Styela clava: one gene and its partner. The protein of the gene in region 2 binds, or shares a complex with, the protein of the main gene of each other region. Links are inferred from orthologs where the notes say so. Each region holds a gene or a part of one and is shown on either strand. Other genes may lie near its edges.

The links.
Region 1: ragulator complex protein LAMTOR1-like (region 2) and ragulator complex protein LAMTOR3-A-like share a complex: the UniProt entries of both Homo sapiens proteins name them as parts of the ragulator complex. The link is inferred for Styela clava from reciprocal best matches to the Homo sapiens genes LAMTOR1 and LAMTOR3.

The regions. Positions count from the first base shown.
Region 1 is NC_135254.1:5,250,995-5,256,964, reverse strand, and holds ragulator complex protein LAMTOR3-A-like, read left to right. Parts: upstream 1-5,053; coding exon 5,054-5,452; downstream 5,453-5,970. Other genes in the region: U2 small nuclear ribonucleoprotein A'-like, read right to left, coding at 2,197-2,961; uncharacterized protein LOC120344131, read left to right, coding at 5,627-5,970. UniProt on the Homo sapiens protein: As part of the Ragulator complex it is involved in amino acid sensing and activation of mTORC1, a signaling complex promoting cell growth in response to growth factors, energy levels, and amino acids.
Region 2 is NC_135255.1:23,608,547-23,615,955, forward strand, and holds the start of ragulator complex protein LAMTOR1-like, read left to right. Parts: upstream 1-4,354; 5' UTR 4,355-4,433; coding exon 4,434-4,559; intron 4,560-6,106; coding exon 6,107-6,278; intron 6,279-7,409. UniProt on the Homo sapiens protein: Key component of the Ragulator complex, a multiprotein complex involved in amino acid sensing and activation of mTORC1, a signaling complex promoting cell growth in response to growth factors, energy levels, and amino acids.

The DNA of each region.
Region 1 (5,970 bases), on a different chromosome or scaffold from region 2:
CATTCATTCCGCTGATCGTGTGCAATTATTCTAGCACTAACACATTTAGTTGGAGGCTGTTAACTTTGCCTTGAGAAAACTTTCATGAAAATCCACAGCTTGGGTTATGAGTGGATGGTTGTCCCTTCAACTCTAAACTGGTACAATTAGTATGTCTAGTGTGAAAACTAAACTATATCGGCATATTTTTAGTTTTAGAATATTGCAATTGGGCTCACGATCGTGGGAGTCTACATAATCAACTTTGCCTTTACAGCGAACAATGCCTAATTTCCCGAACAAGCAAGTAAAGTTGGAACTTGTGCATGCTAGAATGAGACAGACATTATCATTTACCAGTTTTAACTGTATTTGGTGGAGCGCCGACACACAAAATGCAATACCAATTGGGTTTCTTTGTGACTAACTAATAATCCTTCTATGCTGGTGGATCTGCATGCATATAAATGTGAGGGTACTGTAGCAGGAGTAAAGATAACTATCCTGTATGATTCAAGAGTCTTGCTGCACACTAACATGAATACAGCAAATATCTTGACTCGCACAACATGTACGCTTGCATACCTACTGAAACACAGGTTATTGCTATTTAGGTTGTTAAATTATCTCTCATTCCGGAGAAATCCTGCACTCTGGCCCCAGAAGCCATGGTCCTGTCCTGAGAAGGTTATTTAAGTCTAATTCCCACTCTGTGAAAAAGCCTAAGATTGCCATCACCAGCCCGATGTCATTAAACTCATGAAGGTACGACTTCATTTATTGAAATTTGGCCATAGCAGTTACAAAGCATCACTGCAAATCAATCATAGCTTACAGTAAAATAAAAGTAAGAAATAAGTTCAAATAACATATACATTCCTAGACGAAGTCTAATATTTTTTTCAAGTCTTCCAAAGTTAAGACAACTAGTCGCATAGATTCCTAGGAGAACTATTTTGCTAGACAATCAGACATCCGGAACAAAACATTCAAGTTTTGTTTCCACCAGTTGTGAGAGTTTGTCTATTTATTTTCCTGTTAGATTTCGCTGTTCAGATAGCCAGTTTTATGACGCAAACGAAGAAAATGGGCATTTTCAAAAACTAAACATGAACAACAATACGCCCTTCAAAAATTGAGCCAAATTGAATTGGAATCATTGCCAAGTTGTCAAAAGTCCATTTTTGGAAGGTAAACAGGAAATATGAAGAATATAACCAGAACATACTGTATAAACGACAGTTTTAATCTACATAAGACTTGAGAAAATTCCAAAATGCACATTGCTTGAAATATCAGACGTGAAACTCGTCATTGATGCGTTTAGGATTAAAAAAAACAGTAGAAAAGATCACTACGAAATGTATGTACACGATAAAAATATAATAGGGGGAAGGTCAATCTGACCTTTGACCCTGTATGAACTGAGAATGTTGCACAGTTGGAATTATGCAGTGTTAGTGATCTGTTCTTGCCTCTTGGCCCAAATTAAACCTTTTCACCAAAGCGAAGATTCAACTTTGATAGACAGCGGTTCTCAACTTATTTTATTTTGTTACCCAAATTCTGTGGCCCGCTCAGTAGGAAAAACAGCACCATTCATTCATTGCCACTACAATTAGAATTAAACTATAGTGACACAAATGAAATTAGCATCAAAATGTTAACGTGACCGCGCAGTGGGCCATGGCCCACTGGTTGAGACCCACTGCTGTAAGGACTATTTGACGGCCTTAGCTTTTATTGAAGTATTGTGAAATAGTAAGTCTGATTAGGCTTCATTACATATGTTTGTTGAATAATTGTCTCTTGTAAAAATTAAAAAGTCTCTCGAAGAAATCATCTCAACTTGTTTCTGTACGTTTTACATTAATAGGAATTCAATTTCATATGATAATTACCAAATATGCATATTTTAAAAAACGATACAAAAAATAATTTGCCAACAAAGTATGTACTTTAATTATAGTTTTGGTGCAAAAAAGTGAGCCGAAACACTACTTTTTACCCTTCTAGTCGACACTATTTTGATTTTTTAATGCAGATTAAGCGTGACAAATCAATACTTTTTTTGTACTTTTCAACTAAGGCCAGTTCAAATATAGTCCCCAGATTTAGTTCTTATAGCGTAGTAACACGTCTTCGCCTCACAGCCCAAAGTAATCCTGAAAAATCCACCGTTTTTTTATCATTTTACATTCAATTTTGGAGGTGAATTTAGGACACTTCCATTTCAGTCTCCTCTTCTTTATCAGCACCGTTTGTGAGACCGTTTTTATCTTTCCCGGGGATTTTTCCAGATTGAAGCATTCTTTTTAGATTTTCTATCTCTTCAAGAGATTTTGCTTTCATGATTGCCTCCTTGATAGCTTGCTTATCCTGAGCGGACGGCCCTGAAATGGAGGCAGTCGGCTGTGTTGGTTTTCCTGGAGTGAAAGTCCTATTCTTTGATTTTTGTTTGATGTCATTGAGCAGTGTTTCCCCTTTTTTCGAACCGAATAGTTTTTTGGCTTCTTCTCGTTCACGTTGTTTAACTTTACGAAAATCTAAAACTCGTACTTGTGGTAATTTGTGAATAACATAAAGTCTATATTCTTTGTGATGAGTAACAGGATTGCGCAATAGGCTCAAAAATTCCAAGTGTTTAAATCCTTCCAAATAATCAAGATCGGTCAATTCCGCAATTTCGTTGTTCGTGAAGTAAAGCTCCTTCAAGTTAGGGATACTCAGATGAATATCTTCTTCGATTCTACAAATACGGTTATTGTTAAACATCAAAGATCTTATCCGTTTGAGCAACGGAAAACCTTCAAACTTTCGTAAATCATTATCAGAAAAGTCTATTGTGTCAAACTGGTCCAAAGTCGCACCTAAATTTTCAATGACAGGAATTTTGTAGCCTCGTAAGATCAGTTCACGATCTCGTACAGCGTTTACATACTGGACTGCTTGCTCGATGATCTCTGGGGTTAATTTCACCATGATCAAGTTTCAACAGCTTTTTTAGAAAGAATAAAAACTTTATTCCAGTGTTATCATACCGATTATAGAGTCAGAGAATATCTGAAGATATAATAAAATGTTAGTAGATTGACAACAATACTTCCGTAGTGTGTGTACCAGGTTAGGCCATAATTTTATTCTGATTTTCCATATTTTAGTTCTATTACAAGTCTGGGTACCGTCTTTGTAAGCTGAGTGAATATACCCCCTGCCCATGGGCTTCAGTTCCCTTACACAACTTGACGTAAAGTATGCGAACAAAATTAGTTACCTTCATTTTGGCAAACATACTTCTGGAGCGCCACAAGAAGGACAGAGTATCAAACTCAACAAGTCAAGTCAAAATTGATATTGATTTCAAGACAAACAAGTAACTAATTAATCCCATACTCGACATGGAATGGTAATTGGACGATAGGCCGTGTGATTATGTAAATCCTATCCTATTAATAAGACAAATTACAGTAATAATGATAAAAAATTGCCTAGGTCATGCAAACTTCAAACATGTAATATAATATGTTTAATGATAAAACTGCTTTAAGCATACCCTATTGAACTTGGATTCCATTTCAGAAATATCATAAATAAAATTTAGGAGTTAAGCAAAATTAGTGATTCCCACAAAACTTCTTAGAAACTGAGGAATGAAATGAACATGGAGATCACTTATATCACATTTGAGATTTCTCTCGATAAAGCCACATCAGAAAATTGGACTCAATCCCATTTTGACCTCCTAAACTACATACCTCTGTAAATTGATATAAGCCAGGGGTCGGCAACCTACGGCCCCGATCCAGCCCACGACACTTCACTGAATTATAGTATCAAAACAGCTGTTTTGACGATTATATTCTTTACGTAACCGAATTTATTGTGAGACACGTGTAGACTAAATTATATTATAATCTTAAATTTTAAGTATAAAATTTACAATGACTAGTTTAATGATGCTAAGTGCAAAGGGTTCAATAGCGCCAAAAATATTCAAATGGAACTTTTTGAGATGCAATGCAATGAGGAAATAAATCTACATTATATTCGAGAGATGTATCACTGCTTGATTTTCATTATAAAAACTATCATCCGTTCGGTTTTCAACTTTCTAGAGATACCGTATGTGCGGTCCGCCAATGATGTGCAACCCTTAATCTTGGCCCAGGAGCGATAAAAGGTTGCCCACCCCTGATACAGTGATATAAGCCATATTACAGACTGACAGGCCTGTCTGGCTGGGGTATGAATAATACCAGAATACTACAGGGATGCCAACTCACAATAAATACAGAAAAAAAACTATAAAAAATACATAGTCTACATGTAGAGATATCGGTACCGTATAACAACTGCCCTAAAATTACCGTATGTTAAAACTCTTCGATTTAAGTGACAAATAAAACAAATCTGACTTTGAATTACCGGTACGGAAACGACCCTTAAATTATCGGAACGGGGTGGAATATCTTCCTAAACTTCAAACAAAACTATCTTCAACACAATAAAGCTATCCCATTATCTATGTAAGAGTTTAGTTGGGACCAGGGACTGGAATGGCAGAATGGTGACAAGGCAATTCACCCAAGTTAGAAACTACTCGTGAAATTCGTTTTATATTTTACCGGTTTGAATTTAACACGACGCAGGGAGACTAATGATTAAAATTACCCTTTTAATTATAATATGTTGAAAAAAATTAAAACATTGGAAAAACACGAAAATTAAAATTATATAGTTATTTGAAAGAAAATATAAAAGATATTTTCCCATATGATAAATAATAAATGTTAGAACAAGAGAGTAAAATATCACGCGCGGCCTTTACTGTTGCCATATTGCTATAGTTCTCATATTGTATTCCATAAAATTAAACAACTAATCGTATTTTTTAGCATTGTAAAATTTGGAACACACAAAATCTTCCAATTTAAAACTTTAAAGACCTCCACCCTAGAAAAGTTATATCAATTCAACTTAAAATTGAACATCCAATGAGGTGGCACAAATATCTACAAAAATCTGGCAACAGTATTTCATTTTTATCTTTAAGTTCACTTCGCTTATCAGAATAATGTCGGAAGATTTGAAGAAATTTCTCTATCGGCAACTTAGCAACGTTGACGGTCTGTACGCAATAGTTGTTTCAGATAGAGATGGAGTACCTGTTCTGAAAATTGCAAACGAAAAGGCACCTGATTACACCCTGCGGCCTGCATTTTTGGGGACTTTTACCTTGGCAACTGATCAAGCCAGTAAACTTGGCTACGGAAGAAATAAATACATTATATGCTCTTATAGTAACTACAATATTATAAAGTTCACTAGACAGCCTTTGACCGTCAGTTTTGTAACCAACAGTGAATGCAACATAGGACTAATTCTGGATCTTGGAGAGGAGTTACAAGAATATCTTGGTGGTGTGAAGCAGGCAGTTGCAGACTTATCAAAAACATTTTATAACGCAAACTGATTATTTTGAAATGCTTTGTTGAATTGTGATGATTTTTCCGATGTGTAAGCCAACGCATATTTGATTTTGTAATTTAATCAAGAAATTTATATATGTTATTTGTCATTTATTACTTTTATTGCTAGTATTCTCATGTTAAATTGATCATTTTCCGCATATCTCATAGGTTCAAATATGTCAGAGTCTGATGAGGGCGTATCGACCTCATTATTAGGTAATAGAGCTACATCGCCACCTGTTGCCCAGCGATCTTCAAAATCTTTCGTCTCTCAAGTGAAGAACACGCTTTTCTCGTTCATTAAGAAAGCAAAGGGAGAAGCAGATACTGTATCACAAAAGCAGAGAGGATTGGAATCCTTCACTGAGAGAGTTGCCACATTTACTGTATCAAAATGGATGGCAAAACCTCTTGCATTGAGTCCTCCCCTATTTGCTCAATATGGTTGGCAATGTATCGGTGTAGACACTGTTAAATGTTGTTCATGTGCCGCTGTTATGTGTGTCCGTCTTCCATGGCC
Region 2 (7,409 bases):
ATAAATAGAAAGTTTTGACTTCAACTGTCAAGTGGAAAACATAAAAAAAGCAAAAGCCCGTAAGGACAGACTATTGTCTTCGAACACAGGCAGGCTCCTAATACAGTAATAAGTTTTTGCTTGTTTTTATCAATTCTTTTATCGCCTTTTATGCCTATTATGGTTTCAAAATATACTTATACTTACGCTTATACTAATCATAATGTAACGCACGCCAAACGACAGCAAAACTAATAGGCCGCGAGCCGAGGCCCTGAAAACCGCCTAGAAAGTGAGTTTCGTAGCGCACATCAGGTAACTACCTGAAAATGATTTTAAAATGTTCCTTAAAAATTTAGTAACAAATATTGCCTTGTTCCCACTTCCAAAAGTTGCACGTTTTACGGAAAAGATGCTTTTACTACAAGAAATATGTGTCACGATCTGTCCTATATTCTCTACATTTTCGGCACTGAACAATGACTTCTGCATGACGTAACAATTGAATTAAACCAGCTGTTAGCGAGCGGATGAATATTAGTTATTTCTGCTCGACCTTGCGCTGAGTTGGGCAGGCTTTCCATAGCCCTGTTTAGTTATTATCAGTTAAGTTATGCTAAGACGTTGTTGAAAAATGTATAAGTAAATTATTAAACACTTGTAGATCCTTACCACGGATATGGGCCGTGAGACGAAACCATGAAAACGCCCAGAAAATGAGTTTCGTAGCGCACATCTGGTAACTAAATAAATTCTTCAGTTTTGTGTGAAAACGAACATAATGAACGCATTACAGCTTGTTCCACAATCCTGGTGCGAAATTGAATATAAGAGGTTCCCGGAAATTCAATAACCATAAGTTTACAACGCATACATAAGAACTATACAATTCGAGAGCCCTACAGCACACTAACACAAATGTATTCCTGTAATGTTTTGCCTGACCAAAATCGGACTTCCTCAGTCAATCATAATTTATTAGGTAGATTACGAAAAATATGGCATACATGTAACCAACAACAAAAAATACTTTAATTGTGTGACAGGAGTCGGGAGTGACCTCGAAAGCAGCGACACCAACAACGCTGATTCACATTTGAGAATAAATTTTATGTAATAACCACAAGCAGTTTACAACAAGAACAGCATAAAAAGCTACATCCATTTTATAGAAGCTATCAAGTATCAAACGTATTTATTTTTAAGCAATGAAGTCACAAATTAACATCGTGAGCACGAAAACACAAATAAATCAGTTATTTCTCACTTAGAAATTTACCGCAAAAGTCAAGAAAATTAAATGAATGTACAATATGTACATAACATAGTGAACAGAAATATTACAATTTACAATTAATCTTTTTTTAGTTTATGTGGTTATGTATTTGAACAAAGGCAATAATATTTCTAGAAACAGGACTACGACACTAACAAATGTCCGAAAAAAACAACAAATGTATGATACTTATTAAATCAACTGTAATATCTAATTCACTTTCTTCTGAATTGTTTTCGAAATCCACAATCTCAGAAATCGACGTTTCCTCTATAGGTGTACTGTGATTTCTGCAGTCAATACAAAAACAAAAATCTGTGCAATTTAAGTTGATTTTGGCACACTTTCATAAATTATTTTGACTATTTTTCTTTGCAGTTTGCCAACTCAAGAACTGATTTGAGGGCCACATGCTTCTTCAGTGAATCATTGTTGGGTGGAGAGTATAATCCTTATGTTTGACAGTGTTAAATAGACGTGCCCTGGTATCATTTACATTCTTCATATCCTCTTTAAATTCCTCAGCTTTATTTATTAATACCTCGTTAACCTCAAAAGATCTTCATAGTCGAGGGAAAAAAATGAATTGAAAATCTCAATGAAGTCTCCAACTTGAATTTGATGGGCAGTTCCAATTGCAGAAAAGTGCTTAAGTATTTCAATATAAATAGCCCATCTAAGCCGTTTGCAACTAATATGATTCTCATATACCTTTAAGCTTCAAGACTTCTTGTTTAATCCATTTTATAGCACTGATAGCAACAGGGATCAGAGCCTGCGTTAGGTCGGATTGGTGGAACATTGCCGTTTTCTTTTGTAGTACAGTATCTAAAATAAGGAAGAAAATAATATTTGGAGCAGCATGATTTTAAAAATACCCCTAAATACTAACTAATACCTTGAATACATAATGCATTTTATCTGATGTACTAAATGAGCGTATATATGCTCATTGCATGTTCTACAGTCCAGCAGTGTTTGCATACCATTACTAGACTATATCTACACTAAATTTTGATATATCACAGTCTGAAATGTCCTATGACAGTATGAGTATGGACTATAGACTATATTTTGAAACATCAACTGTTTGTCTACAACTTCATTTCTCACCTCTCAATCATTTCCAATGCTACCTTTCTTTCCACTCCGGCATAACTTATCATTGCTTCCCAGGTTCTTGTCGACTCTATGAATTTAGATTTAGACCAACCGACATTAGTAAAATTGATTGATTTCTTCTCTTTCACACAACCGTGCATTACAGAAACAGCCATTCATTTCTATTTCCAAATATGCTGTGGCCTATATAGTAGTATAAGTCTGCTGAATAGTCAAGAAGAGTCATTAAATTAATCATAAACATTTCATGCAAGCCAGAAAATATCGTTGTTTGTGACATATTATTCTAGGTCTAGCCTTCCTTGGAGTTACCGCACCGTACCTATTTAACAACGTCTTATGAGCTAGTGCTCAACTAAAATTGCTATTTATGGCAAGGATATACAAGTGTTTAATATCTTACCTATACTTTTCAACACCTCCTTAGAATAACTGGACTAATATTACCGGTAACTGAAAAAAACTATGGAAAGACTACTCAACGCAAAAGCGAGCAGTTGAGTACATCTGATATTCATCCGACCACTGGGGATCCACCTACAGCTGACTAACTTGACTGTTACGTCGTGCAGAAGTCTGCGTTCATTGGCCCATGATACCGGAAAAGCAGAGAAAATAGGACAGATGGTAACACATATTTAGTGTAGTAAAAGCGTCTTTTCTGTAAAACGTGCAACTTTTGGAAGTGGGAACAAGGCAATATTTGTTACTAAATTTCTAAGGAACATTTTAAAATCATTTTCAGGTAGTTACCTGATGTGCGCTACGAAACTGAAAGATAAATGGCCTCGGCTCGCGGCCTATAAAGGCAGAATGCTCTTTCAGACTACAGTAGTCACGTGCCGTCATGACTTAAAACCGTACCTTGGAGGCGCAGCGGTAGTTTGTACCGTAACGCACTATCGGCAGCAGTCGTGAATTTTATTTCACAAAATCGGCATAAGGCGGTACCGGTACCGATTTATAGGTGCCAGGAAAGCAAGCAAATAGCAGAAAAAAACAAATTCCAATTTCATGCTTTTTTACATTAAAAATAGAAGGGCAGGCCAAAACCGACGTTCAGACGTCAGGACGTTACGCAATTCAGCAATTCTTAATAGCTTTATCTGAATTCGAATTATCTGAATTCTTTTGATATGTAGTTGGAAAATTACGGTACCGTGGTACCTGGTCATCTATTCAAATCAATTCTGTCTGGCTGTGGAGGGGATATATATAACTCTCAGGGTCGAGATATATTTAGGTCTTTCTGTCTATCCAAGTTAATCGTAACTCCTTGAACACTAAACAAAATCATAAGGTGAAAGACTGTCTGATGCAGAATGAAATTCTTGCCTGGCAGCCTGGTGCCTCAATGTCCCACGCCCTAATAGGGTATACCGGTAGTTCTCCGTGCGTGACTGACTGACTTTTACTAAAAAAACTCTGGTGAATAGCCTATTTAGGCAAATATTTTCACATCACTTTTGTTTGGCGTTTTTAGCACTCACAGTGGGTACCTACTTCTTATTAGGACTCCAACTATGAACTCAAAGAAAATTTAATTTTTATCACAAAAATTTTAGCGTATGCAAGCTTCCCTCAATAGCCTTTGAAGAATGTGTAGTAAACATTTTTCTAAATTTCTGTCAAAAATTTGACTCCGACTCTAACTACGAAATCTAAGAAAACCAAATTTTGATAACCAAAACTCTGGCTCTGGTTCGCCATATGGTTAAGCTGTCTTATCGACTTTTAAGAAAGACAATTGTTTATTTCACCCGCTCGCACTGACAGTGCGGTGAGAGTAGAGCGATCGGCAACTTTCAGGAGTGATGCGTCGAACCACATTACAGAGTGTGGTTGGATACAGTCGGCGGGCCAGTCAAAATCTCGTCGCGGCCTGCAGGCCGTATGTTGCCCACCCCTGGTTTAGTACCACAAGTACTAATAAAAGTGTTAAGAAAGTGGGATCGAGATTGCATACCAAAGTGGCAACCCTATTTTTTTATTCCAGTATTCCACTGTTATCCACATAGTATAAATAATATTAATGCATCCTATCTACTGATCTATTATGGGTTGCCTCGAGAGTTGTTTAAAGAAAAATGAGGAGGAAGCGGATGAGCGAACATCGTTGCTAGGAAACGGGAATAGTACAATTGCGAACACAGCCCCAATCAATACACAAGTCATCGCAGAGGTAGTGACTTTTTGTTATTTTCATATTATACAATCTACACAAACTTCACCCCTCCGAGTGCTTATACCACAAAGATTAGTACGGAATTTACTGGGGTCCAGTCTCCCTATAACAGTACGGCACATTATACAAATCGGGTGACATTGTCCCGTTTCAGAGAAACCAATTTTACAGATGATCAGACACTCCTCCTTTGGGAGACGTCTGGACATTGTTGTCCTTCATTATCGATAATAATATGGACATTGTTGTCCTTCATTATCGATAATAATACAGTATAATGAAGTTGCGCAAAATATTACAAAAAAGCGCAATCTAGTAACGTCATCATTGAATTCATTAGGAAAAAATAATCAAATTTACCGAAGGAAAAAAAATTTCACCGTAGCATTCAAAAGTCTTTAGCAAAAAACAGCAATTTTGGTCATGTGACGGCCGGGATTAATCTAGATCAGGGCTACTCAACTATTTTTGCTAAAGGTCCGTATACAAAACTTGAAAATTCTTGGGGTCCGGTATGGCCAGAAAATGTATTTCATACTGCGCCTAACTATAATTCAGTGACTCTATCTTTTCGGTTAAAAAGTTAAGGAAACGCGAGTTGTGGAAAACTGAGTAACCGCAAAATATTCCACATCCTTTTACAGATCCAAAGTTAAATGGAGACAATCATCCAAAATAAAAATAAAATCAGACGCGGTCCGAATCGAATACTCGAAAGGTCAGAATTCGGACCGTGGTCCGCCAGTTGAGTAGCCCTGATCTAGATTATTATTTAGACAAGCATGGCGTGATATGAAGCATCAGACGTGGTCCCAGACGTCCCTCTTTTGTGAGACACATAGAGTGTTTGTTTTATTGAGCCAAATGGAGGGAAATTCTTGGAATTTGGATAGTGTGCTGTACTGTATAAAGTACACTGCACAGTTCACTCAAATATTTCGAACCTGGGTTTCACAGAGTTATAAAGTTTGTAGTTCGGTGTTAATAGGGCTAATGCTCTAAAACGTGATAATGGATTCGGTTTGAAGACTTGAAAGGTCCATTTTCGGAAAGCGGTCATACTATGACTCTGAAAAATTTAAAACTGTAACTCTAGCTCTGACTTCCTTCTTTTCATGTCGGTTAGAGATCTTTCCAGATCAGCATTTTTTTCCCAATTCATTCAACCCTGGGTGACATATTGGGCTTGGATTTGAACCCAATATTTCTAGCTAGGTTAAAATTAAGTTAAACTAACCCTGACGTGGGCGAACTACGGTTCATGGGCCAAATCCGGCCCTTTGGATAATTCAATCAAGCCCGCCTGATGCATTCACAGCCAAATCAAAATCAAATTTTGAGGTTCAACTAAAAATAACTCAAGGAATTTGTTGAGATTGTGATTAAATTAGGTTTTGGCACAAGGCTTATTGTTTTTCACTTTTGTTTTTGTAACACTATTAATATTGTTCATAAAATATGACTTTCACGGCCCCTTTGGCCTAGTCTAGATGGGCAAAAACCTTTCCCTAACCCTGCTCTAACCACTTGGCTAAATTTAACAGGAGCATACACCTATTGGAAGCGTATCACGAAGCCAACAGGACGAACAGACGTTACTTAATGGAATTCTAACAAAATATTCATCTGACGTTATTGACGTAACAGCGATAGATTCGAGGATTGACGCTGTGGAATATATGAACAGAGTGACGCTGTATAATAGAAAATTAACAGGTAATTGGAATAGAGATAGTGAGTACTTCCATACAAGAATAATAGCCATTATGTGTAAACAATGCTCAATGCTGTGGTCCCAAACTGTGTATCATTTAATAACATTAAATTTGTTTGAAGAAATCATTTGATTGACCTGTTTCAGACGCTCAATCGAGCACAATTTTGAATACATTTTTATTAATGTCATACGACCCCCAAAATTTACCCAATATACAATAATTATATACCATTGGAAAGGTATTTTAGAGTACTATACGCTAGATGTCACTGGAGGACCGTAAACTAAAACACATCTTTCAAGAGGTCTTTCGTAACGTCAAAAAATAATAAAAATATTTACACTCTCTCATTCTATCAGCTGTTGGACGTCTATCGCTATTGTAAAGCTGAAATGTGACTATACAGTTGACTGCACATTGGTTTTCTCTTTCATATGATTCTAAACGCTTTTCCATAGCGCGTGTTGTTCAAGCGTTTTGGAAATTTTCCGTTTGAGAAGTCACCACATCGAATCAGGCCAGGCTAAGCTTGATAGATCGATCGGTTGTTTGTTTGTGCTTTATCGCGTTGAAAGCTTTTGTGAGTCATAATAAAACATTTATTATGAATCATAAAAGCTTATAATCGTCAGACAAGGAGAATTTGCGAGATAAAACGCCTAACTTTTTTTCGGTGAGGCAGCTGCGATCAAACGACTCGATATTTTTATAACTTCCTGACGTTGTGAGATGTCCACTCTCCTATGTTATGTAGCATATAAAATGACCTTCAAAATAAGACCTTATCATACTAGCTTTTGTTATTGGTTTGCGCGCAACGCCAAGGTTTATGGAATCATTTTCTTGTTGTGCGACGTTTTTATATCGCAGCGGGAAGTACACGCGTGATATGTAAGCGAAATTTTATCACTTCTAAATGTCATATAAGGTTCATTCTCATATCGTTGTGTGGGGAATAAGATTTCCTTTCAAGCAAGACCATAACAAACATTCCAGACCTCATGGTATACACACAGCATTGCAAAACGTCTGAAATTTCGCGCATGCGTCAAACCGGGAGGATTAGGTTAATAAAATAAATATACCTATGCTAAGATTATTTTATCTGATGAAAAAGACAGTGTGAAAC